7 linked regions of the Rattus norvegicus genome follow. The protein of the gene in region 7 purifies or fractionates together with the protein of the main gene of each other region. This does not show direct contact. Links are inferred from orthologs where the notes say so. Each region holds a gene or a part of one and is shown on either strand. Other genes may lie near its edges.

Evidence for each region.
Region 1: the proteins of Eed (region 7) and Ddx5 purify together in Homo sapiens (affinity purification with western blotting; 3 studies listed by BioGRID, with this or other methods). This does not show direct contact. The link is inferred for Rattus norvegicus from reciprocal best matches to the Homo sapiens genes EED and DDX5.
Region 2: the proteins of Eed (region 7) and Mtf2 purify together in Homo sapiens (affinity purification with mass spectrometry; 3 studies listed by BioGRID and IntAct, with this or other methods). This does not show direct contact. The link is inferred for Rattus norvegicus from reciprocal best matches to the Homo sapiens genes EED and MTF2.
Region 3: the proteins of Eed (region 7) and Phf19 purify together in Homo sapiens (affinity purification with mass spectrometry; 8 studies listed by BioGRID and IntAct, counting the BioPlex papers as one, with this or other methods). This does not show direct contact. The link is inferred for Rattus norvegicus from reciprocal best matches to the Homo sapiens genes EED and PHF19.
Region 4: the proteins of Eed (region 7) and Aebp2 purify together in Homo sapiens (affinity purification with mass spectrometry; 6 studies listed by BioGRID and IntAct, counting the BioPlex papers as one, with this or other methods). This does not show direct contact. The link is inferred for Rattus norvegicus from reciprocal best matches to the Homo sapiens genes EED and AEBP2.
Region 5: the proteins of Eed (region 7) and Hdac2 purify together in Homo sapiens (affinity purification with mass spectrometry; 5 studies listed by BioGRID and IntAct, with this or other methods). This does not show direct contact. The link is inferred for Rattus norvegicus from reciprocal best matches to the Homo sapiens genes EED and HDAC2.
Region 6: the proteins of Eed (region 7) and Phf1 purify together in Homo sapiens (affinity purification with mass spectrometry; 8 studies listed by BioGRID and IntAct, with this or other methods). This does not show direct contact. The link is inferred for Rattus norvegicus from reciprocal best matches to the Homo sapiens genes EED and PHF1.

The regions. Positions count from the first base shown.
Region 1 is NC_086028.1:92,229,129-92,233,354, forward strand, and holds the start of Ddx5 (probable ATP-dependent RNA helicase DDX5), read right to left. Parts: upstream 2,801-4,226; 5' UTR 2,712-2,800; exon of another isoform or gene 2,701-2,711; intron 2,604-2,700; exon of another isoform or gene 2,463-2,603; intron 2,173-2,462; 5' UTR 2,032-2,172; coding exon 1,988-2,031; intron 841-1,987; coding exon 675-840; intron 299-674; coding exon 202-298; intron 112-201; coding exon 1-111. Other genes in the region: Cep95 (centrosomal protein of 95 kDa), read left to right, coding at 3,056-3,074. UniProt on the Homo sapiens protein: Involved in the alternative regulation of pre-mRNA splicing; its RNA helicase activity is necessary for increasing tau exon 10 inclusion and occurs in a RBM4-dependent manner. Binds to the tau pre-mRNA in the stem-loop region downstream of exon 10.
Region 2 is NC_086032.1:1,804,415-1,807,914, forward strand, and holds part of Mtf2 (metal-response element-binding transcription factor 2), read right to left. Parts: intron 3,392-3,500; coding exon 3,291-3,391; intron 2,892-3,290; coding exon 2,743-2,891; intron 516-2,742; coding exon 420-515; intron 1-419. UniProt on the Homo sapiens protein: Polycomb group (PcG) protein that specifically binds histone H3 trimethylated at 'Lys-36' (H3K36me3) and recruits the PRC2 complex, thus enhancing PRC2 H3K27me3 methylation activity.
Region 3 is NC_086021.1:38,583,855-38,587,354, reverse strand, and holds part of Phf19 (PHD finger protein 19), read left to right. Parts: intron 1-1,042; coding exon 1,043-1,138; intron 1,139-1,589; coding exon 1,590-1,690; intron 1,691-2,273; coding exon 2,274-2,422; intron 2,423-3,500.
Region 4 is NC_086022.1:175,258,349-175,262,343, reverse strand, and holds the start of Aebp2 (zinc finger protein AEBP2), read right to left. Parts: upstream 2,801-3,995; 5' UTR 2,619-2,800; coding exon 1,972-2,618; intron 1-1,971. UniProt on the Homo sapiens protein: Acts as an accessory subunit for the core Polycomb repressive complex 2 (PRC2), which mediates histone H3K27 (H3K27me3) trimethylation on chromatin leading to transcriptional repression of the affected target gene.
Region 5 is NC_086038.1:42,120,127-42,123,556, reverse strand, and holds part of Hdac2 (histone deacetylase 2), read right to left. Parts: intron 1,758-3,430; coding exon 1,617-1,757; intron 1,363-1,616; coding exon 1,254-1,362; intron 582-1,253; coding exon 451-581; intron 213-450; coding exon 57-212; coding exon of another isoform or gene 1-56. UniProt on the Homo sapiens protein: Histone deacetylase that catalyzes the deacetylation of lysine residues on the N-terminal part of the core histones (H2A, H2B, H3 and H4).
Region 6 is NC_086038.1:5,018,636-5,022,774, reverse strand, and holds the start of Phf1 (PHD finger protein 1), read right to left. Parts: upstream 2,801-4,139; 5' UTR 2,599-2,800; intron 1,938-2,598; coding exon of another isoform or gene 1,917-1,937; coding exon 1,758-1,916; intron 1,676-1,757; coding exon 1,594-1,675; intron 1,498-1,593; coding exon 1,402-1,497; intron 1,050-1,401; coding exon 949-1,049; intron 858-948; coding exon 709-857; intron 568-708; coding exon 472-567; intron 344-471; coding exon 275-343; intron 188-274; coding exon 64-187; intron 1-63. Other genes in the region: kinesin-like protein KIFC1, read right to left, coding at 3,965-4,009. UniProt on the Homo sapiens protein: Polycomb group (PcG) that specifically binds histone H3 trimethylated at 'Lys-36' (H3K36me3) and recruits the PRC2 complex. Involved in DNA damage response and is recruited at double-strand breaks (DSBs).
Region 7 is NC_086019.1:153,290,501-153,294,000, forward strand, and holds part of Eed (polycomb protein EED), read right to left. Parts: intron 3,272-3,500; coding exon 3,180-3,271; intron 182-3,179; coding exon 48-181; intron 1-47. UniProt on the Homo sapiens protein: Polycomb group (PcG) protein. Component of the PRC2/EED-EZH2 complex, which methylates 'Lys-9' and 'Lys-27' of histone H3, leading to transcriptional repression of the affected target gene.

The sequences.
Region 1 (4,226 bases), on a different chromosome or scaffold from region 7:
TCTGAGCTACTCCAACCATATCCAATCCACTGAGAGCAACTGGCCAGCCCTGAGCTTGGATAGCAGTGGGTTCAGTGAAGTTCTGCCTTGCAATCACATCCATGACATTTGCTGCAACCAACAATACCATTTTAACAAAAACTTATAGGCAAAAAAAGAGGGAAAAAACGTAAAGGGTTAAAGATAAAATTTATTCCTTACCAGGAAAGTTTGCTTCATAAAAATTCAGAACAGGTTTTGGACAGTTGTGACCTCTGACTGTAATTTCCTTGCTTCTTCTGTACGTATCTACCTCTTGCTGAAAAACAAATGATCTTGGTCTCAGACCTAGGCCAGATACACCGACAAGTTCCCTACAGCTCAGTTACACTCATTTCTAACTATCTGGACCCATAAATGGAACTCTACTTAGCAGTAAAAATCACAATACACATTAAAAAAAAAAAGTGTCTATGAAGCCCAAATAGGCTGACAAGCCTGTTTCCCCAGTGATGTTTCCCCAGAGATTAACATATGGCCATTACACCTGGCCAATACACAAGAGAAAATTCAATGGGAAGTCAGACAAGTAATTCTCCAAATAATCTGCAAGGCACCTGCTAAGTTTCCATCTAATTGATCAGAAGTAGTTACTACTGAGTTATAGCACGATGAAGCCACATTTAAATACTCACTGCGGTGCGCCTTGCCAAATCAGGGTGTTCCTGATAAAAATTCTTCTCAAATTTGGGCAGCTCATCAAGATTCCACTTCTTTTTAACTAGTTTCTCCCCAGGATTTCCAAACTTCTTTCCAGATAGGGGTCCTGTTCTACTCCCTCCAAATCGAGGTGCACCAAACCTACAAAAAAAAAAGTTAGGTACATTGTGAACAGACTTCTACATGAACAGGTTTGTCTCCACATTTCATTTAATGTCTCTTGATCCGAGCCAAAGTGTGCCTCTGGAATCCTTCCCAACTGTCATTCTACGGACAGCCACAACTGGCAGCGTTTCTTTTCTGAAGTCCCAAGTACACTCTAATGAGGCCAAATAAACAGCGTGGGATCTATCAGGTCCCAAACTGCCCAAACGTCTGAAGTTCAGATTACAAGGACAACAGCTAGAGGCTCCCTCTTCTCTCCCCACAGAGCTTAGGAATTAAGTGTCTAGGAGCTGGACAAGAAGGGAGGAGCTTAAGAAGGTTATTTTTGCCACTGTTTTCATCAAAGGGCCTGATCTTAAAGAAATAACGGGACTGCGCAGGCAACGTGAGTGGCTATGGGAGGACGGTACCGCGGGCAGGGTAGAAAGGGGCACACGCGCCAGGGAGCCTTGTTTTAGGAAACGCCGCGAACGGCTGCAAATCAAGGTAACAAAATTATATAACGCGAGGGAGAAAAAGAGGAGGAGTCGACGGCAACCGGGGGAGGAGTCCCGGCCCGGGCGGCGTTCCCGCTGGGGCGGCGCTTCCTTCTTTGTCTCGCATTTCTCTCTGCGCCACATTTTCTCGACGCTGCCATTTTGAGCTCCTCCGCCGGGCGGGGTAACAAAGGCGCCGCCGCCATGTCCGAGGCCGGCATTTTGTGGCTGCGGCTCAGCCACATGGCTGAATCCGCTGGCGTAGGCCACCCTACCGGGCACAGACGGCCTCGAAAGCGCCCCTTGTATTCTCTGGGGACCCCGGGGGCCCCCCTAAAACCCCCAGCGAAAGGCTGCGCAAACGACGCCTTGAGCCGACTCTAAGGCGAGGCGCTTCCCTATCTAAAACACCTCCGGGCTTCCCACAACAGCCGCGAGGTCGCCCAGGCCGCCGTCCTCCCAAACAAAAACCAAGGTTGAACCCAGTTACCAGAAGCGTCGCCTTTAACGGCTTTTTAGCCGGATGTCAGAGAAACGCAAGGCCTCCTACCAGAAAAAAAAATCTAAAGGTCGGTTGGAAAGCCGAGCTTCTGCCGCGCCGCTCTCCCATCCCCCACCCGCCCTGACAGGTCCCTTGTTATACTCACCCTCGATCCCGGCCGCGGTCTCGGTCACTAGAATAACTCGACATGGCGTCAATGGTTGCGGTGTGCTGGAGGAACCCAGTGAAAGAGAATCCAGTTGCGACGAGTCGCTGAAAGGAGGCCTCGGCGACGGCGAAGCCTTTGCGGGGGCGTCACCAGCGGAGGGACGGCGGTGACGAGGGCCGGAGCTGTAAACCCAAGGACCGATGGAAATGAATGAGGTGCCGGCTGCGTCCGGGCAGCCGGTTTTATAGTCTGGACCGCCTCCTCGTCGCAAAGGATGCTGGGAGCCGCTCTATGACCTAATCACCCCGCCCCCTGGCTCCAAGGCCTCAACGCCCGCTGGCGTTCCGGAATCCGCCATGTTCTCGCCCCTCCCCCCCGCGGGCGCTCCCTCATAGGCGCCCGTTTATTACTCGCTTCTCGACTGGGTGACACCACTAGAATGCCCCGTCCCACACCCTTTTGGCTACACCACCTTCTCGCCTTGCTACATGTCAAACAAGCTTCTTCCCCGTGGCCAACCAGTCATTAAAATGGCCAGCACCAGCCATCCTACTGTCTCTACTTGAAGATGTTTACGTCTTCACAGACTCCCCCACGCCCATAACCAAAGAAGACGGGGGAGGCGGAGCTTGGCGTTGTCACGTGATTGTACCCTGGGCAAGGCGTATCGCACTACTTTCTCGCTTGCCTTCGGCGGAGGAATACAAAACCACAAACTCACCGGAAGCGCGGCTCTAACGCCCCCAGGAGATCGGCCGGGCTGCTGGGTGACCTGGCTGCCCTGCACGCCGATCTGAGAGCCCTTAAGCGGGATCTTGTCCGCGGGGAATGGTATCTGGAGCCCGCAAACTGCCGCCTAAGCGCGTGCTGCGAAAGGAAGTGCTTCTCTTCTGACCAATCAGCGGCGAGAAGCCGTTTTAACGTCCCTCCCTTTTCTACCCCTCCTTCCCCGCTCTCTGGTTTCTACCCCCTCCTACTCCCTTCGGTTCTACCGGGTTCGACCCTTCCAGGACACCGTCGCCCGCGCTCTCGTCTTGGAGTCTGGCCGCGACCTCACTTGGCAGTATGGCCAGCTCAGAGGCTGGTGAGTCTCGGCCTGGAGCCCTAGTGTTTTTGTACTGCAGCATTCCGCAGGCCTCGGGCTGAATCTGAGCCATGTCTGGGCTGCTGGAGAGGCTCGTGATGGTTGGACACTAGTTGCAGTCGCAGGGAATCTCTAAATTTAGGGTCTCACCCTCGAGACCTCATGTGTTTTCCAGGCGTGGAATTGAGACTTGGGATGAGACAGGAGCTCATTGACAAGGCTGGGATACCCTCATCCTGTTTTTACAGAGCAGTCAGGATCCTTCTTGGATCCGAGTTTCTGTGGGGTATCTAGCCACAGACTGTCTCTCCTTCCCCTTTGGTTTGTTTGGACTAAGGTTGAACCTATCTATATATATTTTTTCCTTTTGAGGCATAGCACTCATAAGATCTTTTGATGCCCTCTACAGTAACTGGCTTTGTCTAGTACAGCCTTTAAAAAGCCAATTGACTCGGTTGTCTAGGACGCTTTCCTCGTCCTTTCCAAGACAATACAAAATGGTTGTCATGGCTTGGTCAGCTGTGCGCATTGGGCATTGGAAGGAGGGCAAAATGGGCATGACACATTCAGACTACTGTCTCCAGAATGTCTGACTGTACTGGAAATGTGACCAATTCTAAAGTGCTTTCTAATATCCAGTCATTTCAGGATACAGGCGTTTCAAGCTTTCGGAATTATTGCTGAAACCCTTAATCGTTAGTCCTGTACTATCTGGGGGAGGGCACGAGCTGTTTTTGGAAAAGAACAACGGGGAGCTTGATTAGGATTATTAATGTGCTAGTTTAGAGCTTAGCGATTTGGCTTTTTTTTTCTTTCATTTTTACCTTCGTACACATCAAATATAATAAAAAAGAAAACTAACAAATGCATTAGTGTCGGTGTTGTCATTATTCAAATTCCTAACAGCCTAAATTAATCACTTGTTTGGGCACCCGAGAGATCTTACTTATACAAGATAATTGGGTAAAAACATGTCTAAAAACTACTGGGAATTCAGAGCTACCTCCATTAATTTCTAGCAGTTTTTAGGTTTTCATTTACAGCTGTCTTACGATATTCCTGGTTACCTATAAATTTATTGTAACTAAAAACACCCATGTGAGTATAAAAATACCGGTAAATAGGATTGTAGGTTGCAAGAATAAAAGTTGG
Region 2 (3,500 bases), on a different chromosome or scaffold from region 7:
TTTCTTCCTAGAGCTCACTGTCCTATCCTAATATTCTGGCATAGAAAGTACATGGTGTCTGCTTTTACAAGTTTTCAAATTTATTATACAATTTGTTTTAATAAGATCCTATGGTCTTTCAATTCTCATTGCAGTGTTCCTTTGAGCTTCGCGACTGGCAGGAATCAATGAGAACAGTTTTGAGAACTGTAGTCATAGAACAAATATAACCATGGAGACAATACTTAAAAGCTTTCTGATAATATTCCAAAGCATAGAAAATACATATAAAGCATGTTTACTATTCAGTGTTGTCAGTCTAAACTGACCCCTTTAACACATCACTGTCAAAGTTATTTTTGGAAATCTGAAACTGCAAAATAACCACAATTACAGAGCAGCTGACTGGTTAATCATTAAAATTCAAATGCTCTTCTTACCTATCTCCAAACAGCATTGGCTTTTGAAGGCATTGGACACAAGCCTCATGAAACCACTGCTTACATTTGCAGCACTGCAGCATCTTTAAATACCAGCTATCACAAAAAAAAAAAAAAAAAAAAAAAAAGGAAGAGGAAATGAAATTAATTAATTTTTTTTTTTTTTGGTTCTTTTTTTCGGAGCTGGGGACCGAACCCAGGGCCTTGCGCTTCCTAGGCAAGTGCTCTACCCCTAAACTAAATCCCCAACCCCTGAAATTAATTCTTTATAAAACAATACTTCACTGTAGTTCAAGACTGGTCTCCAACTCATAACTCCCCTGGCCTCCCCAGTGCTAGGATTATAAGTGTATGGCACTATTATTAAGCTAAATTACTACTTACTGATAAAGCAAGAATTCTTTTAAAGAAAATATAACTAATACAGTTCTGATAAAAGCACTGTTTCTGCTATAAATACTAATATTAGTATTAATTGTTCCCAAAAAGGTTAGTATCAATTATTTCATCCTTCCTCTCCTATCATGGAAATCTATATGCTCTTTAAGGTTAATTAGTATCTTTGATCTCTCTCAAATCACAAGATTCAGGGGGTTTGCTTTTTGTAGTGAGGTCTAATCCAGGTTGTTCTACACACTTTACCAATGAACTACACACCCATATAGCACTTTTTATTTTGCTTGTTGTTTTTATTTCTGATTTTTTTTTTTTTTGAAACATGGTCTCACATATTACAGGCTAGCCTCAAAGTGAAAATGACCTCAAAACTAGGGTCCTCCCACTTCCTTGTACTGAGATTAATCACTACTTCATCCAGTTCATGGCCTGCTAGACAGGCACTCTTACAGCTCAGCTACATCCTCGGGCCTCTTTGAAATGTTTTGAGTCTCATTTTGAGGTTGTCTTTCAATGCTTGATAACAACCATAGCCACCAACTGTTTAAAAAGATCTTTTTTCAGCTTGGGTTCTTACTGATACACAAGTGAACCCTAAACTCCTAGCTAGCCAAGAGTTCTCAACCTGTGAGTTAGAAGCCCTTTAAGATCAAATGACCCTTTCACAGAAGTCATCTAAGACTATGGAAAAACACAGAAATTTGTATTATAATTTATAACATTAGCAAACTTAGTAATGAAAATACTTTTATGATGGGGCGGGGGTCACCACAACACGAGGAAGTAAGTGTATTAAAGGGTTGCTGCATTAGGAAGGTTGAGAACTACTGTCTTAGGATGAAGCGATCACCCTTCTTCACCTCCTGAGTAAACTACAACTAGATATGTACCACCACGCCTAGGTCCAAGCTGGCAATTAAAAAAATTTTTTAAAATATGTGTATATGTGGGAGCCTGCTTCTCTCTATGTGCATCACGCACGTGCAGTGCTCCTCTCTATGAGCATCGCGTGCATGCAGTGCTCCTCTCTGTGCATCGTGTGCGTGCAGTGCTCTTCTCTATGTGCATCGTGTGCGTGCAGTGCTTCTCTCTATGTGCATCATGTGCTAGGAATGAACACAGGTCCTCTGAAGAGCAGCATGTACTCTTAATCACCAAGCCCACCCTTCTACACCTCCCCCATAAATTTGTGTGCCTGTGTGTGGATACATTCATGTTGAGTGTAAATGCCCAGAAAAGGGTGAGGATCCCTGGACCCAGAGTTGCAGTTGGTTGTGAGTCACCAATATGGTTGCTGAGAACACACCTAAGATCCTCTAGAAGAGCTATCAACCCCTGGAGCCATCTTTCCTCTGCCCCTGAAACTTTTTTGCTGTAGTTTATTATGCTTTTTTACATCACTTCTCTGTATCCTACGAAAGATAGATTAAAAGGTACCAGTGTTTAGCCCAAATGCCAAATGGCCATAGAGATTTCTGTTTATGAACATTTCTTTAAAAGATTTATTTACTTTATGTAAGAGTACACTGTAGATGTTTTCAGACACAACAGAAGAGGGCATCAGATTCTATTACAGATGGTTGTGAGCCACCATGTGGTTGCTGGGAATTGAACTCAGGACCTCTGGAAGAACAATTGGTGCTCTTAACCGCTGAGCCATCTCTCCAGCCCTTAACCAATTGTTTTATCCATTTGCAATTCCCTATCACTGCCACCATCAGTGATGAGAAGACAAACCAAGCACCCACAGCCCTAGTGCTCTTGGAAAGCTTGGCCTCAAGCACCTGAGGCCAGTTAAGTGGTACACATAGAGCGAGACTACGATTCACACAAAACGGGGTCTTCATAAAAAACATTTTTACAAAGAGAAAAGATACTGTGCATTAGTATAAATCACATCAGAGGACGTGACGTAACTGTTACTTACTCTCCAGGGCCTCCACAGTAGCAGTAGCACTGCTGAACGTTGGTTTTATGACCTGCATCCCATTCAAGGTCAGCCACGCTATAGGGTAATGTCTGCTTCATGACTTGCAGTGCTTTGGCATTTGGTCCTTTCTTAAGTGCACCACCCCTCTACATATTAAAAGAAAAACATTTGAAAAAGTGAAGGTCAAGTTTTTTAGCCAAATTTTCTAATTTTTAATTCTATAGTTTAAAAATGCTTGACACTTCTGAAATAATTTCCATTCTGAATTTCTATGACACCATATTGTCTGATCTGCTACTAATAATGTATTTATTTTATTGTATTCTTTCAATTTATTGCCCTAATCCCCACACCACTATCAGAAAGCACGAACACATACAAATAAACTACGAGCCATTTAAGGATCATTAATAAAACAATTCTACTAACCAACATTAGCTGCTAATTTCACTGAGAACAAGCTCTTCAATGTACACAGTCATTTCAATGGTAAGTCCTTAGAAATTACATTTAGTAATGTTTAGCCTAAAACAGTTAGAAGATACCTTTGTTGTTGTTGCAAAAACGCACTGTCGACAAAGCCACTTTTCATCTGAATCGATCACACTCGAGTCAATATGAGGCGTATGACACAGCTGATGATATCCTTAATATCAAAAAAGCAGAAAGCAAGTTCTATTTTATTATCAAGTACTGCAGAACATGCTTTCAAGAAGACATTTTACTTTTAGTTTTGTTGTTCCCTACATTATAAG
Region 3 (3,500 bases), on a different chromosome or scaffold from region 7:
GAACCGGATGTGGCAGAAGAGCTAAGACTTATCGGAGCAATGGCTGTGTGTTTGAATCCCACTCTCATACTTATCAGCTAAGCAAGGGCCTTAGCTTCCCGAGCCTCAGTTTCCCCGTCTTTGGAGCAGGTGTTAGCAGACATCTCCGGAAGCCTGGGAAGATTCGGCGAGGCAGCTCGTGGGATGGATAGTGAAGCTCAAAGCACAGCAGTTCAGTTCCTGCTCTGTGGTTTTTATTATGATGGCTTTAACAACGAAAGTCCCTGACAGTTTTATAGATCTCCATTCTGGCTACACACTCCTCAACCCTCCCCGATCCTCCCTTCCCACCCTCCTCTTCCCTCCTCCCTACCTGCCCCTTTCCCAGGTGCTCGATTTTTGGTTTTGTTGTGTGACCCAAAGTGATCGCACAATCGGGGACATCTGTGTGGCCGTTGGGTTGGGACGACTTACTGAAGTCCAGCAGAATCATCAGTGGGTATACAGCTGAAGGAAGGAACTCTCCATCCCCCCCCCCCAGAATGTATCAAAATAATTGTTCAGCAGTGAGGGACAGGCCCCCTGTGTCCCTGCTGTCGATGTCTGGTATGGATGGGTCCATCCTTGTGCAGACCCTGTGTCATCTACAGTTGTTAAGAGTTCATTACAGGGGCCACACTCAACAGATGGCATGCCAAGCCCTTTTTTCTGCCTTTCAGCTCTTCCGTTCTTTCTGGCCCCTCTTCAACAATGTCCCATGAGGGTACGTTGTGGATGTCTTGTTTAGAGCTGAGCTTCAACCGTCCCTCATTCTCAGCATTTTATACAGCTGCTTCTGCACTCCGCAGTTCACAGGAGACAGACGCATCTCCGGTTAAGGCTGAATGGGTATAACATATATTTAGACTCTGTGTCAATGTAGCTGAGCCGCAGAACTAAGTTTCCCAGTAGGGGCCCTATGAGCTCCTCACCGGATCCAAGTACGGATTCCTTCTCGGCAGATGATTTTGACGATTTCTTGGTGGTGTGAGCTGGACCTGAGTTGAGGGGACTTCTTTTTCAGCTGGTGTTCCAGGAGAGGAGCCCAAGTGTGATGTCTGCATGGGGAAGACTTCAGGACCGATGAACGAGATCCTCATCTGTGGGAAGTGTGGCCTGGGTGAGTGGGTGAATAGCACACTGTGAAAGGCCCTGCCTTGTGGGCCCCTCCCACTCGGCGGGCCCCTCCCACTCGGTGGGCCCCTCCCATTTTGTGGGCCCTCACCGCACTTGCTGAGGTCCCAGCTAGCTTCCTATCTATCCTATTCCTTCTATCCCTGACATGTCTCCTCCTGCTTTGGGGAAAGGTGACCAAAAGCAATGGGAAATGTAGTTTGTGACCCTCCTAGGCAGAGAGACAGGTGCTGAAGCTCATTCTTGGTGCCTCTTACAGTGGCCAGTACCTTCTTTTTGTGCCTCGCTGGCTGGGTACCACCAGCCAGTACCCTGAAAGCTGGCAGGCAGAGTTCCCTAGGGCTTGCCATAGCTCGACTAGCCTCGCTGCCTTTGGCCAACTGGCCTTGGGCCACTGCTCCCTTGTGACTGATTCACCATCCCCTCCTTTGCCCCAGGTTACCACCAACAGTGCCACATCCCCATAGCAGTCGATGCCAACTGGCCCCTCCTCACTCACTGGTTCTGCCGACGCTGCATTTTCGCACTGGCTGTGAGGGTGAGCATCTCCCAACCCCTTTCCCCAGCCCTTGCCCTCCTGTCTTCCAACTGGGCAGACCAGAGCCCCACGAGACTCAGGCCTGAGACGACATCGCTGATGCTGTTCTCTAGGCAGAAGGGCTCCACTTGGACTTTGGAGACACAGGGTGCTGTCTTAGGCTAGATCTCAGAACCTCTCTAAACCTCAAGTGTTCCCAACCATAAAATGGACCCAGTTTTGTGTCAGTAGGAGGCCCCTAACAAAGGGCCGTTTGCTATTAAAAGACAACGTTATTATGTACCTCCCCCTTACACGTGGTATTTTTTTTTACTTCTTTTTTTAAAAAGCTCTTAAGATAAATATATATTCTTTCACAGATTGTGTGTGTGTATGTGTGTGTGTGTGTGTGTTGTCCTTTTTACAACTAATGCTATCAATGAATATCACTAAAGGAAACAGGATGGGTTTAGGATTGGTGAGAAAAAGCTCGTTTTTCTGATGTTCATAAAATGTCTGGGTCTCCCCGAACCCTGGCAGCATTTCTCCTGATAGCTGTGTGCTGACAGGTGTAGTTGTTGACCTGGGTCCTATCTCCCCCTAGAAAGGCGGTGCGCTGAAGAAAGGCGCCATCGCCAAGACGCTGCAGGCAGTGAAAATGGTGCTGTCCTACCAGCCTGAGGAGCTCGATTGGGATTCGCCCCATCGCACCAACCAGCAGCAATGCTACTGCTACTGCGGCGGGCCTGGAGAGTAAGGCACCAGAGCGGGACACGTGTTGACTGCTGGGCGGGACTGACAGGCTCCCAGGGAACCCCATCTCGGGGGCGGGGCCTGAGTGACAGCCTGAAGGGCGGGGTGAGGCTTGACTGGCAGGCTCTGGAGGCGGGACCTGCGCCCTCCGAGTGACAGCTTGGGGGCGGGGCCTGAGCATCAGACTCTGGAGGGGCTGACCCAGAGTGACAGCTGGGCTGAGGGATATGAGTGTCTGGCGGCGGGACCTGGAGGGGCGAACCTGGAACCATGGGGCGGGGCCTTCGTGTCACGCTGTAGAGGTGGACCAAGAGAGACTTGACAGGGGGCGGGGTCTGTTAGGTTATGAAGGCGGGATCTAGAGGGGCGGACCCAGAGTGACAGCAGCGGGGCGGGGCCTCAGTGTCAGGCCTTGGAGGCGTGTCTTGGATGGGCAAATCCAGAGTGCTCACTGGGGGCTAGGTCTAGGGTAGACGGGCCTAAAGTGACAGTCGCGAGGGCGGGGCCTAGGTGTCAGGCCACGGAAGCGGGATCTGGAGGGGCGGATCCTCGATGTCATTTTAGGGAGGGCAGATTGTTTAATGTTTAATTTTAATGTCGCTTTGCAGGAGGGAAACCCAGAGTAGTCTTTGGGGAAACCAAGCTTTGAGGGGCGGGCCCAGGGGGTAGGATGGCTGTCATAAGGCAGGTCTGGACCAATGGGAGCCAGGAGAGTTACCTAGGGATCTTAAAGGAAGGGTGCTGAAAGTAAGCTCAGAGTGAGAACCTGTGCAGGTGCAATGGAGAGTAGAAGGCAGAGTGCTTTTCTTGGAGTCACGTGAGAAAGGAGGAAGTAATGAAACAGCTAAAAAGCCTAGGCCTGACAGATGACCATAACCTGGCACAGCACTTTGCCAGCTCTGCCTCCCCTGGTTCACAGTTCACTTACTAGTTTTTCCTTTGTGTGGCTGTGAGCATCAGTAACTATATAAAAGCTCACATGGGCTGGGAATTGGTAATCAGCTGGTGGTGGTAGAAGAGATTCTTGTCTTGCTGTGGGGCCAGAATCTGCTCTAGCTTGCCAACCTGGGCCTCCGAG
Region 4 (3,995 bases), on a different chromosome or scaffold from region 7:
GCCCCCAAAATAGGCGGCCCCACAGGTTTCTTAAAGACATTACCCGGGTTGGGGATTTAGCTCAGTGGTTAGCTCAAGGCCCTGGGTTCAGTCCCCAGCTTCGGAAAAAAAAAAAAAAAGAAAAAAGAAAAAGAAAAAGAAAAAAAAAAGACATTACCTTCCCCAACCACACCTACAGGTTAGCACATTTCTCTAAGTTTTCCTAAGGAGCAGTCTGTTTTACACCCATTCAAGAACACTTCTTGTGGCAGATAGATGGTGGATCCTGCATTTGGGAGGCTGAGGATTTCTGTGAATACCAGACTAGCCTGGGCTACAAAGGGAAACCTTGTTGTACAGATGTTGGAGGAAAAAGAAAATGTATTTACTTATCTCAGTTTTAAAGTGTCAAAAGAATGCCTGAGGGTTTTTTTTTCCTCCAGATTGTTCATTTATCACTAGCTAATAACATATTCATCTTTTTTGGCAACCAGAATTCCTAAAGACCTCAGAATGCTTTAACTTAAGATCAAATCAAAATCCAGGGATGGTGGTGTGTGTGGACTCTATCCAGAGACTAAGGGAGGTAAAGTTGAATTCTCAATAAGGGCAACTGATTAGGCAGATGCACCCCACCCCCAAAAAAATACAACCCGAGGAGAGAAATCACTACTGGCTTATAAATTCTAATCATCAAAACACTAGCAGATGGTCAAAAGTAAACGCTAATGTACTTTAGGAACATATTAAGCCTGATTCTTTTTCAAAGTACATTGAAAATCAACTTCAATTATGAAATTTTACAAAGCAATCAAAAATTAGAGCAGCAACCAAAACATACTACATTTCTTAAATGTTCTAACTAGAACAAGCTCTAGAAAAGCCACAATTCCTCCAGACACCTCCCCCATACATGACTTTAAAAAAAAATCACCAAGGGGGATGTGACTCCCACATCAAAGTATCGCTGCACAATGCCGTTTTCATAAGTAAGCCACATCCTAATTGTTTAACCTTCATGGCTGTATCTTATGACTCCAATTCTTTCTGATTCTGCAAAGTTACTGTAAAGGACATCAATTCAAACTCACTGTTCTTTTCCACAATGTTTAAAACTTGGTCGCTCAGATTTGATGACCAAAACTCAAATCCCCTGAGATGATATAACTGATACATGTGAGGGGTTCGAGAAGCTGTGATTACACACAACAGACCAACAGTCCTTTTTGAAAGTAAAGCAAAGCCAGGCTTGGGGATGTCCTCCCAGCACAAGTTACTCCCGTGAGATCCAGGAGACCAGCCATATTGGAAAACACTTGTCAATTACAGTTCTGACAAGTGTTCCCGAACACCGATGCACGAAGCTACCGAGGTGTACACCAAGGGCTTCTGGGCCGCTTTGGGGGAGCTGTCTCCGGGATAGAGTCGTCCTTCGATCCGAAAGAACCGCGCGCGGAGGTAAGGAGGGTAGGGGAAAGGAGAGTTGAGGGGGATGGTGAGGAGTTGGAAGCCGCTCAGTGGCGAGAGAGGGGCGCGGCGGCCGCCCGGGATTTCCAAGTTGAGATCTGGGGGGGAGGGGCCGAGAACCAGGGAGCGGGAGATCACCGAGAGAAAGTCCCCCGGGTCTGGGGTCCGGGGTCCCAGAGTCGGGGGCAGGGGTGATGCTGGCGAAGACGTTTCTCAAGGCGAGCGGGCGGGCGGGCGGGGTTGGGAAGGGGAGGCAAGAAACGGAAAGGACCGCGGCGAGAAAGTCCCCTTGGTCCCCTTGGCGGTGGCCCGGACTCTACCCGGAGCAAGGAGATCGCTGCCAGGAGGTCCCCCCTGCTGGGCCACCAGTCCAGGAGGTGGGAGGGGATCGGGCAAGGAAGTCAACTCAAAGGGGTCCAAAGAGTCCCCTAGACAGGACCCAAGGGGAGTCCCCTGGAGTCAGGAAGGAGTCCCCTGAGTCCCCTCGACCGGGTCCGGGAAGAGTTCCCTTGGCGGCGCACTGACCTGTCCTCCGAGTCCATGCGGCTCAGCGGCTCCCCGTCCGACGACATCTCCAGGCTGCCCCGCCGGCCCCCGGAGGTCGCGCTGCTCCCGCCTCCCCCGGTGCCGTAACCCTCGTCGCCGCCGCTCGACACCACGCTACTGCTGCTACTACCGCCGCCGTTGCCCGGGCCGCCCGGGCCGCCCCGCGGTCCCTTGGGCTCCTCCAGGCCCTCCTTCCCGTCCCCATCGCCGCTGCTGCTGCTCGCCGCGCCCGGGCTCAGCGAGCGCGTCTCGTCGCCGCTGCAGCCGCCGCTGCTGCTGCCCACCAGGCTCTCGGCGCTGCTCTCCTCCTCAGCGCCGCCGCTGCTACTGCCCTCGTCCTCGTCGTCCTCGTCGTCCTCGTCCTCGTCCCCGCCCGCCTGGCTGGCGCTCTCGGGGCTAGGCTCCGACATGGTCTCCGCCTCGCCGCCCCCCGCGCCGCCGCCCGCTCCGCCGTTCAACAGCAGCGCGGCCACCGCCTCTGCCTCCGCCTCATCGTCCTCCTCCTCCTCCTCTTCCTCCGGCGGCTCGGCCCGGCCGCGCGCCGCGGGCCCGGGGCTGCCGGGGGACAGCGGGCTGAGGCGGGAGAGCTCCTCCAAGTCGGCCATGTCGGTGAGCGCGGCGGCCATGGCGGCGCCTGCTGCTCCTCCGCCTCCTCTCGCCGCCGCCGCCTCCTCTCGCGGCGCGCCGCCTCGCCCCCGCCTCCCCGCGCCCGCACGCCCCAAACTCCTCGCAGCCGCCGCAGAGCGGGAGGAGGGCCCGCGGGGCTGCGTCAGGCTGCACACGCGCTACGGAGCCCGCGCGGGGACACGCGCCGGAACGCGCGCACTCACGCGGACGAGGCAGCGCGCCTGCGCGGCGGCCCACGGCAGCCACTCCCCCGGCCAGCCTGGCCCCTCGGAGAGTTTCTCGGGGCCTTCCCACGCCTTCCCGCGCCCAGCGGAGGCGGGACGAGCCCTCGAAACCTGAAGTCACTGGGGATTTTCACAGCCCTGTACTTCTCTAGAGGAAAGCATCCGCTCAGAGTGTGTGTGGGAAGGTGTCCTGTAGAAGGAAGCCATAAGTGGAGCAAGAGTCTCACCTTCTGAGTGCTTACCGTACGCAAAGACAGGACACAAAAATGTGCAGAAAGTTAAATAGATTTTTTTTTTTTTGAGGCATAGAGCTGCCGTCCACACCGCGGAGGCATAGTCCTCACTCTCAGCCGGACCTGCTTACCTGTCCCGACGTTCCAACGACCCAAGGAGGGAAGCTCAGACGAAGAGGGCAGCGCTTTAGCTCAAGATCCTCGCAGTTTTTAGTCCTGGAGCTTCTAATAAAATCTGGGATGAAGCTGTAGGTAGGCTGAGTTCTCGGGGGTGTAGTGCTGGCTCTGCCGTTGAGCGATCTAACCGCTCTTCCAGAGGACCCGGCGCTCGGTTCCCAGCACCCACATGGCGGCTCACAACTGTCTAACTCCAGAAGCTCTGACCCTGGCCTCCCTCCCGGTCACGTGGGCGGTGCACACATGTACCTGACCTAAAATAGGCGTGCCTTTACGCCCAGCCCTCGGGTGGCCGAGGCAGGAGAGTCTCCGAGATCTCTAGGCTAGCCTGAGCTATAGAGAGAGTTCTAGGCAGGCCAGTGATAACGCAGTGAAACCCTGTCTCAAAAAGCGAAACTCGGGAGGGTGGGAAGAAAAGAAAGCCTGGAAGGAGAGATCAATACTCAAACTAGTGAAAGCTCCTCCCTATCCTCAGGCAAGAGTCCTTTCCTTTGTGGGGTTTACATTAAGGGAAGCATTGCATCTTCCAAAACTTTCAGTAAGGGAATGCCTTGTTAATAAGCTTTTGTAAAATAAAGACCTGGAGTTTATGTTCCTCCTAACTAGTAAGGAGCCCACATTACACTCTGACTCCCAAGCACAAGGCATATTCTCGCATACTCTCTCTCTCTCTCTCTCTCTCTCTCTCTCTCTCTCTCTCTCACACACACACACACACACGCGCGCGCACACACACACACAC
Region 5 (3,430 bases), on a different chromosome or scaffold from region 7:
TAAAGATACAGTGCACCCGTAAGCAGTGAAAAGGAGCGTCACCAGCACAGACGGACCTGTCCTCTTGTCCTCCGCCTCCTTCTTGTCTTCCTCAATCCTGGCTTTTTTGGCTCCCTTCTTATGATCAGCGACATTCCTACGACCTCCTTCACCTTCATCCTCAGAATCTGAGAACTCTTCATCACAAGCTATCCGCTTGTCTGATGCTCGAACTGGGACACAAACATTTTTATTAATTTGGTAATAGCCAGAGGTTCTACAATCATTACATAAGGTAGATAGATATTGATAGATATCAAGTGCCTACTTTCTGGATGCAGCCATGTTTGTGTAGTCACACAAAATGAAGGGTGATATTAATTCAGGCTTTGAGACATCAGGAAGCTAAATCTCACGTTATTAAATGGAGAAAAGGAGAATCACAACATGTGCTGTGAAGGAGTTTCTTACTAGAAATTCTCTTGTCAGGGTCTTCTCCATCCTCATCACCACTGTCTTCATGAACAGCATCTTCTGGAATAGCTTGCATTTGAACACCAGGCGCATGTGGTAACATTCGCAGATTTTCAAATAAACGCTGTCTAAACGACACAATTTATTAGACAAAATCCACTGTATGCAAAGTTCCTGTTAGACAGAGGAGGAACTAAACAAAAACAAGTTCCCATTTAGCTAACCGCGGAATGGGACACTAGTGGAGCATCGATCACTGCACACACGGCTGACCCCACAGCACACAGCTATGCTTCACTTCACCCCATCTGACGGATGAGGCAACAAGAGCACTTGTCCATGTCCTACAACTGTCTACGGGCGAGAAGACACAGCCCATTCCGCTCACCATTTCTACATTCTGTAGACAGAAAGCACTTGATCTAATAAAAATGTTTCTATTGGGCTGGAGAGATGGCTCAGTGGCTAAGAGCACTGACTGCTCTTCCTGAGGTCCTGAGTTCAATTCCCAGCAACCACATGGTGGCTCACAACCATCTGTAAAGAGATCTGATGCCCTCTTCTGGTGTGTCTGAAGACAGATACAGTGTACTTATATATAATAAATAAATAATCTTAAAAAAAAAGTTTCTATTTACAAAGGTTACATATTTGTGTTATTATTTTAGATTAAAACCACAAATATCCTTAAGGTTTCAAATCATATTAAAACAAAGAGAATATCTCATGTATCTAAAAGTTTCCTTTATTTGACCTTCTATAGCCTCCTGAAACTTCATTAAGGCGAAATGATTTCTTACTTTATCTTTTCCATATATTCTGGAGTGTTCTGGTTTGTCATGTTTGAGGGACTAATATGCAGTTTGAAGTCTGGTCCAAAATACTCGAAGTAATCATTATATGGCAACTCTATTAAAAACAATGAAAAGCAAGTTACACATTGAAAGCTTAGTTTCCAAATAAACTCAGAATCATAATCCAGGTAAAAGAACTATTCCCAAAGGAAGCTTGAGAGTGAGCATGGAATGTTCTCACAGATTCGCACTCTAACCATTCAGCCGTCAGAGGAGATCATACATTCCAGGGGTGTGGCTGCAGACCCTCCCATTCATCCATTTCCACACACTGCATGTTCTTCTAGATACTGCAACCTGAACACCTACCATTGGGAATTTCACAATCAAGGGCAACTGCAGTCTCATACGTCCAACATCGAGCAACATTCCGGATTGTGTAGCCACCTCCGCCAAGCATCAGCAACGGCAAGTTAAAAGTTTTCACTACTTCTACACATTTAGCGTGACCTACGACGAAGAAGATTTGGGTAACATTGAAATATATTCTTTAGCAATTTAAAATAGGACCTTAAAAAGGATAATTACAAACAATTTTACTCAACCAAAAAAAAGGGTCTGTAGACAGCCAGGCAGAGTGGCCCATCCCAACAGTCCCAGCTCTTGGGAAGCTAAGGTAAGGTAAGTGGCGCAGAATCTGGAGGCCAGGCTAGACCATACAGCATGACTACAGGGCAGGCCACCTCACCCCAAGGTGGGGGATGGGGGAGACAATGACAGGGGTGATGACAGGGACTGTATCCAACAAATAACTCGTGTTAAGTATTAAAACACACACACATGTATTTTACTAGCAACACAGGATGCTCATGAGAGGTCACATAAGGGTAAGGGAGAGAAGACACTACACAGATGCTAAATTTTGTTTCTCCTATATGACATGTGTAGCTTAACTACGGAAGGCAATACCAAAAAGTTTGACCACTGACTATCTTTAGGTGCTGGTATTATGGATAATTTTCTTAATTTACTTAATTACAAACCTCACATAGGAACAAGTTTTGAGTTACCAGTAACTTCTGGTGGTATTATCATTCAGGCACACAATGCCATCATTACAGTCCCTCAGGGGCTGGAGAGATGGCTCAGTGGTTAGAGCACTGACTGCTCTCCCAGAGGTTCTGAGTTCAATTCCCAGCAACCACATGGTGGCTCACAACCATCTGTAGTGAGATCTGATGCCCTCTTCTGGTGTGTCTGAAGACAGCTACAGTGTATTCACATACATGAAATAAATAAATAATTCTTAAAAAAAAAAAAGGGGCTGGGGATTTAGCTCAGTGGTAGAGCGCTTACCTAGGAAGCGCAAGGCCCTGGGTTCGGTCCCCAGCTCCGAAAAAAAGAACCAAAAAAAAAAAAAAAAAAAAAAAAAAAAAAAAAAAAAAAAAAAAAAAAAAACAAAAAACAAAGTCCCTCAATGCTGACAGCAGAAATTCATCCATTCCCCACCCCCCCCCCACATTCTCTTCATGGATTTTAGCCTTAATTAAAATAAAAAAGTCCCTTTGCAGCAGGCTTTCACTTGGTATTGAGATGCTGGCTGCCACAAGCATAGAAGCCATTGAATCTTTGGGTCCAGTTAATTTCAGTGTGAGGTTCTGTTGCTTGTTTTGTTTTTCTAACATTTTTATAACAAAGCTTAAAATATTTGGAAAAAATTAAAATTGCACAAGAGAAAAAAAAACCCCATTACCTAATGAGAGTTTACAGTGTCTAATTATCTGTTTTCTTCATGTTATCAACCAGACATCATCTACTAAAACAGTGTTACTGGACATTTCTAAGGACAGAAGTTAACTTACAGACTACAAGGAAAGAGAGCAGACAAGACCAGCGTTCAACCACCCAACAGCAGGCAAAAAGGGGGGGATTTATGAAATGAAGGCTAGAGGGCCTGTAAGAGGAAGCATGGAAATAATTAAGAAATAATAACAGCATAAGAAGAAATAACTGAGAAGTGAGGTGGACAGCAGCTGACCGCCTCACTTCCTTCACGAGGCCTGAGAGAATGCGGCTGAAGTCAGTCACAGAGGTACATTAGAAACTGTCAGTTATCACCTGACAGTACACACCGGGCACAGCTCACTGGCAGAGCACGGTCTTCGGCTCTGAGGGGAGGAACT
Region 6 (4,139 bases), on a different chromosome or scaffold from region 7:
GGTCCCAGGGAGCACGCATTCCTTGTTCCAAAAACCCCAGTTCTCAAACTTTAGAACCCTTACCTCCCCCAGGAGCAGACTGTCCCAATTCTCAGAGGTGAAGGGGAGGATCTCTCGGTCAAAATCGAAATATTTCTTCTTACAGCAAACGCTGAGATGGTAGAGAACAAGATGGGCCACATCCACCCTGGAGGAGCATGAGATTGTCAACAGCAGCAGCATTATGGAGTCAGGAGTCATAGAGTAAAATGGCGGAGAGCACCATCCTTCTCACCAGCGAAGCTGTAACCTCCGTACTTTCTCAGGGCCGCCCCGGCACACACAGCATTCAAATTCATAGAATCTGTATATGGGTCAGGACAGAGGGACCTCACTCAACCCTCCAGTACGAGCTGCAGAGGGCTAACTAGTCAGTCGGGAGCGCGGGAGAGAGAGCACCCCAGGCTCCTGTGCAGTCTCCCTGGATCTCACCTGTCTCCGTAAAGGAGGGGCTTGCTCAGACACTGGGTGCAGGCCTCATGGAACCACTGGAGGCAGCTCCGGCATTGCAGCATTTTCAGGTTCCACCTCAAGGGGAAGACAGCGCCATGGCCCTCAGCCTTCTTCAAACCACAGGGCCCCCCCTCACCCTCTTCGCTCCCCTCTGTCCTGGGCTCTACCACCACAAAACACCCATGCCGTGGCTGGCCCTGCTCTTCCTTCACTTACTCCCCCGGGCCCCCGCAGTAACAGTAGCTCTGCTGCCTGTTGCTCAGATGTCCGGCGTCCCAGTCCAGCCCTTTCAGACCGTACGGCAGGGAGAGTTTCATGCCCAGCATGGCCCGGGCATAGGGACCCTTCTTCAGGGCACCTCCCCTCTGCAGAGGAACAGAGGGAAGCCTCAGAGGGCAGGGAAGGAGGAGAGGTCACGGGAGGCTCCCACACAAGCAGGCAGAGAGGTGCCTTTACCTTTGTGGCAATCGCAAAGACACACTGGCGGCAGACCCAGGAGCTGCCCTCTCCTTCTCCAGGGGCTGGGGCCCTGGGGACGTGACAGTCCTGGTGATAGGCTGAATGAGGAGAGAAGGCCACAGAGTGGCCTTTAAGTCCTGACCAGGGCATTTAAGACCGGTCCCGCTGGCAGGTCTCATCCTGACACTCAAGTTGAGTCAACGGGCTTCTAGCAGTTGAGGACCTTGCCCAAGGAAGCTTGGTTAAGAAATGTGAGCGAGCTACGGTAGGCCCTCAGCCTTGTCACCTGCATCCACGCTCCCTCTCCCTGTACTGAGATGAGGTGACAGGGTGAGGACTGGCCCAGGCAGGAGACGTGCGTGACTCACGCTATGAGGGAGGGTAACCCTTCTAGTGGTAACCCAGAAGACCCAGGGCAAACTGCACCCCCTAAACATCCCGCCCTCTCACCATGGCGACACTTCTCACAGCTGACCAGCCGGTTCCCAGGGACCACGGTCTCAGAGCGACACACACAACAGAGGAGCTCCTCACCAGGAAGGGCGGCTGTGAGAGAACAAAGTGTCAGGAGGCCCACTTCAACCCAGCGTCCCCATCGGCTCCAGCTGCTGCAGAGGGAAGCTGTGCTTTGAAGGGTCTCACCTGGGCTGATGTCCTTCCATAGAACTAGAAACTGGGAATCATCCTCAAACTGGACCAGACACACCTCCCGCGCACTGTCCACCTGGAGTGGATGACCAAGACCGTAAAGTGGGGGCAGGAATCAGACCGGCCTGGGAAGGCAGGGGATCAGAGGTGGGCCTCACCTTTTTGATGGTGCCCAAGTACAGGAGCCCATCAGTCCATCTTGCCAGCACATCTTGACCTTCCCAAAGCCGAGGTCTGGGGCCTGAGGTGGGAGCAGGGGAGGCTGGGTCCCAAAGAGAGGGAGCACCCAAACGGCTCAGCCGGGGGAGCTGCGCCATTGCATCCTGGGGTGGGCTATTCTGAAACAGGATGGTTAGAGTTTATGAGCGCTGAGAAAGTGTCCCTGTGTGGGTTGTTTTCTGTTACGGATGAAGAAACCCTGACCCTGACCAGGAATCTCCAACCCCAGTCTCGTAATCCTTTAGAACCCCGAGGAGGCAGGTCGTTCTGGTCAGCTTCTCTACTCCACTCCTTTCCATCTCCCCTGCCTAGCTCCGTAGTATCCCAGCTCCTCCGGACCTCCGGTGGAAAAGATGTTTGCAGAATCAAGGTTACCACTTAGTTTCACCTTTCCCAGCTGTGTAGAGGTAGCCTAACTGGGGCAATCTGTTGCCCGGAGATGTTTTGGGAGCTTTTCTAAAGACGTTAAAGGAGTAGAAACAGCTGCCTCCCCAGGCTTGTGTGTCTTATTTAGAGCCACCATCCTGGTGCCAGGTTATGTTAGGTCACCCTCAAATTTGGGGCTCCTTGACCTGGGATTAGATAACTTCCCTGAGTGCCCCAGGAGGGGGGCGTGTCCCTGTCCAAGTCTCTACTCCCCTACACTGCCAGTCCACGGAGGGACTTGAGTCGCCCCAGCACAGATCCCAAACTGGGACCAGGAGGCTCCCCCAGCCCTTCCTGCGCACCGACCCCCGGTTCCCTGCCCCCCCCCCTCCGGGCCTCCCGCCTTCTCCTTACCGGTGACAGCTGGGGCAGCTGGAAGCCAGGTAGGGGCAGACCCAAGAGATCTGGGTGAGTCCCCGGTGCGGGAAGACTGAGTGTGAGCGCCGAGGGGCGTGCAGGTGGAGGCCAGGGGGGTCCCCGGGCCCAGCCCCTCCGTCCTGGCCGCTCTGGGGCGTATGACGCAGCAGCCAAAGCAGCAGCAGCGGCAGGAGGAGTCGACAGAAGGAGGGAGGAGAGTGGAGGGTGGGGAGCACCAGTGGGAGGAGACGACGGAGGGGCGGGTAGGCAGCACCTCCCTCACCTCCAGTAGGCCCGGAGGGCGCTGCGCTATTGGAGGCGCGGCCGGTCGGGGAGGACGAGGAAATCCCTGTAGCCCCCTTTTCGGATAGGAGGCTTGCTCTGAGGGCAGCAGGAAATAACCTTCTTGGCAGCTAGCCTGCAGGTCAGGGCCGGGCCCCGCCCCATGCCACATCCGTTAGTTGCCCCGCCCCCGTGGCCACTCCAAGCTCCGCCTCCGCACGCGGAACCGCCCTCCTCATTCACGCTTTCTGTTGCCCCGCCCTTCTGCGCACGCGTAGCCCCGCCCGCGCGCCGCACCTGGGCACACAGCCACTCCTCCCGCGGCGAGCACTGGCATGGCCGTGCTCCTCTAGGAGGGAAAGGACCAGAGGCTACTTGGAACTAGTACTGGGGCGGTGACGCGCCCACACCAGCCAATGGGCACTAGGCGGCACGGACCGAACCATGGTTCGAACCGGTGGGCAGGGGAAGTGAGAGATTTAGTTGGTCACAGAGGGCCCGGTGTGGGCACTATGGGCACAACTCCCTGAGCTGAAGGACAGAGGAGAGGCACCAGGGCAGGCAGCAAAGTTAGTGTGTCCCTCCAAGTGAAAGCCCATAGCCTCCCTCACTCTGCAAAACAGGTCAAAATGGACATTTCTACATCTTACGGTATTTACTCACAATACTTCATCTGGCAGCTACCAATATTAATAAAACCATTAAGAGCTGTAACAGGGTCTGGAAAGATGGCTCAGTGGTTAAGAGCACTTACTGATCAGACCCCACATCGATGGTCAAAACTGTCCATAATTCCAGTTCCAGAGGCCCCGAAGCCTCTTCTGAACTTCAAGGAGCAGGAGACATGCACATGGTGCACATGTATATACTCAGGCTAAACAACTGTACACACACAATTTTTTAAATCTAAGATTAAGAAAAAAATTAACCTACACCAAATTTTCTTTATTTGATAGTTGGGTACATAATGTTGTCCACCCAATAAAATCATGTCTCAGCCCCGCCCCACCCCCGTGTTATACATATACACAAAACAGACACGCACACCCGCTTGCACAGGAGCCAGGCTCTGCATCCATCTTCATTTCTTATTAGCCTGAGCAGTGCCGATCACGCACTGGTTCACCTGTGGATGGACCAGTGAATAGGGTTACACGAGATCACTGCTTACAATCCGAAGTCTCCCATTCTGCCCCAATGCTGGGCCCACTGTCTGACTCCCTGAAATAAGGACTACGGCAGCAGGCTCGGCCTGA
Region 7 (3,500 bases):
TGGAGAAGGATAGCACATCTACTCAATACACACGGCCTAACTGTCACCTGTTAGTTTTGTTTGGGTTATAATCGTAAGATTCCTTAATCGCATTCATCATTCTCTTTGAGTTGATTCTCCACAGTTTAAGAGAGTGATCCATACCACAGGACATTATTTTTTCACCCAAAAGATCATAATCCTAGGAATAAAGCAGAAAAGTGCAAATAAGTAATTTATAGCCTCAAACGCTCCTTTCCAGTTTTCACCTGGTGCCCAGTACCATGAGCACGACATTTCAATCCGGAATACTAAGCACATTCCGGGCGTCACCTCAGCACAGCACAAGTCACAGACATATTCTGTTCAAAATTTTAATCTGTCATCACTAGAGTACAAAATAGAAGTTTATTTATACAACTATATTTAAATAGCTTCCTTAAATTTAAAGGTAATCAGATGTTGAAATAATCATTTTGACACAGAAAAGCTACACAGTTATATATTACTTTTCTTGTCCAACTCCAATTTATAAAAGACACGAGTCCTTCAACTGTTAGATCATACGTTTTCTTGTACCACTTAAAATTACATTCACTAAATGTACTTGACTAAATCTCAGCACAGAGATGAGGAGGAGGACATGAAGGCCCTCTCCTAATGGAGGAGCTGGCATCTGACTGCTTCTGGGAGAGGAGTCAGGTTTTGAGTGGCGTGACTCCGGGCACATTTACCTCACTTCAGGGCAGGCCCCATGACTAGCTAACGCAAACTGGACTGGGTGTGGAGAGGAAGAAAGGGAGGGAGGAAGAGAGAAAGGTAGGGAAGGCTGTGAGAGAAGCTGAGGATAGGGGTGAATATAAGCAAGATATATAATAAAATATCACATTTAAAAAAGCAACAAATTAAACAAAAAAATATATTTGTTGTATGTGTTTGGGGAAGGTGGCACCCATGCTCAGAGGTTGGAGGACAACTGGCCAGACTCACTCTCTACTTCCTCCAGGGACTGCACGTAAGGCTCCAGATTGTACAGCAAGGACCTGTACCTGTGAGGCCATGCCATCAGTGCTGCCCACTCCCATGTACTTTATTTCAAAACATTCAAGTCTATATTGTTTTTAGGGTTCACTTTTTAAATGAGTAAAAGTCTAAGAGGATTTTAGTTTTTCTTTTTTGACTGGCCTTGAACTCAGAATCCTCTTATATCAGCATCCCATGGGATTACAAGTATAAAATACCATTTTATAATGCTTACTAATTTCTAATGCATAACAAATATTATGTAATTACAATGTCATTTCGCAGGTGAACACAGTCCAGATATGCTCTTAATTGAGTACCAAGCACTCAAAGAGTTCACAAAATGCTCACATACTTTCTCCCTTTTCATAGACAAAAGGGATGGAGTCTCTCCTGCTGAAGATTTAAGTCTCAGTAAGCCACAATATCCGGCACAGTGGTGCACACCTTTAACCTTAGCACCCTGGAGGCAGAGGCAGGTGGATTTCTGTGAGTCTGAGGCCAGCCTGGCCTACAGAGGGTATTCCAGGGCAACAGCGTTTTGGAGAGACCCTGTCTCAGACAGGAAGAGCACAGGTGCAAGGGTAGACAGTTCTAGCCAGGAGGGTATCTTACAACCTAGGTATTCTGCAGCGACTCAACCTGAAACCATTTTACCAAAACATTAGCTTTGGTGTTTACTGATTTCATCAATCTACTTGCTACTATTTCTAATCACTTCATTATCAACAACAAAATATCCTTAAGAATCTATGGCTCTGTGTTAGCTTTAAAAAAAATTCTTAAAGATTCATTCATTTCTGTTTATTGGTGTTTTGCATGTGTGTCTGTACCACATGTGAGCAGAGCCCATTGAGGACAGAGGAGGACACCAATGCTCTGCAACTGGAGTACTGAACCCAGGTCCTCTGGAAGAGCAGCCAGAGCTCTTAACTGCTGAGCCATCGCTCCAGCCCCTCTGAGTCAGACTTCTCTTGCTTGATTCCATACAAAGCCTGGTGTAGAATGATACCAGGACTTCTAGAACTATGCAAGCTGATACAGTAGCATTAGGTAGCCTTGATTCTCAACGAATGCAACATTTTGGCACCTCCATATATGGTTCAAAGTGATTCAGCTTTAAGAAGTTAAATTAGGAAAAACACTGAAGAGAAACAAAACTAAAAAAAATTAAAATCAATCAATCAATCAAATGAGTTACCAGGCAAAGGCCACAATGTTAAAAACTTGAACATGGCCTAAAGCTGACAGGTCCCTGATTACAATGTATCAGCAAAAAGACAGTACAGGATTATCTCTACCATTATCAGGACAGTGAGATGGCTCCCCATTAAGGGGCCTGTTACCAAGCCTAAATAAAGACCAAAGTTTGGTTTTTTCCCTGGCAGAAACAGAAAAGAGACTCCAGCAAGCTGTCCTGTGATCACAAAATGGCAAGTTTTTTTTGGCAAGTGTACATCTACCTAGTCATACATATATACACAATAAAGACATGTAAGAAAGAAGTGGGAGGGAGGGAGGGCAGGCAGAACGAGTGGCCCAGGCTCTGTTCTCATCACTCGGGAAGCAGAGGCAGGCTATGTGTGAGTCAGATGTCAATCTGGTCTACACAGCAAGTCCCAGGCCAGCAGGCCTACAGTGAAACCTTGTTTCCAAAGCACAAACAACATTTTTTTTAAGCCATAAACTGTTGGTCTTGCTTACTACCCAGGGAAGAGGCACTGGAAAATATAGGGTAATCACATCAGAAGAATTCCTCAAAGTCAACCACTTATTTCTACTTCAAACAAAACTTATGGATAATTAGAAAAACTTGTTCTTTAATAATAAGAACAAGGAAAATTCAATTGGTGACTCTGAATTAAAAAGAAAAAAGTTGGGTCTAGACCTAGACCACCACCCCACCACCACCACCACCACCCCCACCACCAAATCTACAAAGAGAATGACTGACATATTCTTCCACTCATCCGAGTCATTTTGAAAGACTGAAACTGACAGAGGCCCACTTGCTCTACCCCTTTGTGTGTAGTTCAACATCTTTATGTTGAATGGATGAAATGACTGCCTGCCAGGCTAGGCTGCATGAGGAGACATGCTTGCCTATGAAGAGAAAAGTTCAATGGGAAACATTCACTCTATGTAAACCAAAGGTCATTACCCCAGATTCAACTTACAGCACTCAGCACTTCATCTCTGTGCCCTTCCACACCTCCGAATATTGCCACAAGAGTGTCTGTTTGGATATTCCATAATCGTAAAGCATGATCTAATGTAAACACAGAAAGTTAAGATAAATTTTTATCACTCATCTACTGCAAACTTTCAGTAAAGTTTATATGTAAAAGCCATGAAAATTTAGATTATGTACAATGAAACTAAGAATATCATTCATGATATATAACAACTTAAAATACATCACATGTAAAAATTATTAATGTTAAGTAAGTTCCAAGCTACACACTGAGACTGCCTCAAAAACAAACACATAAATGAAT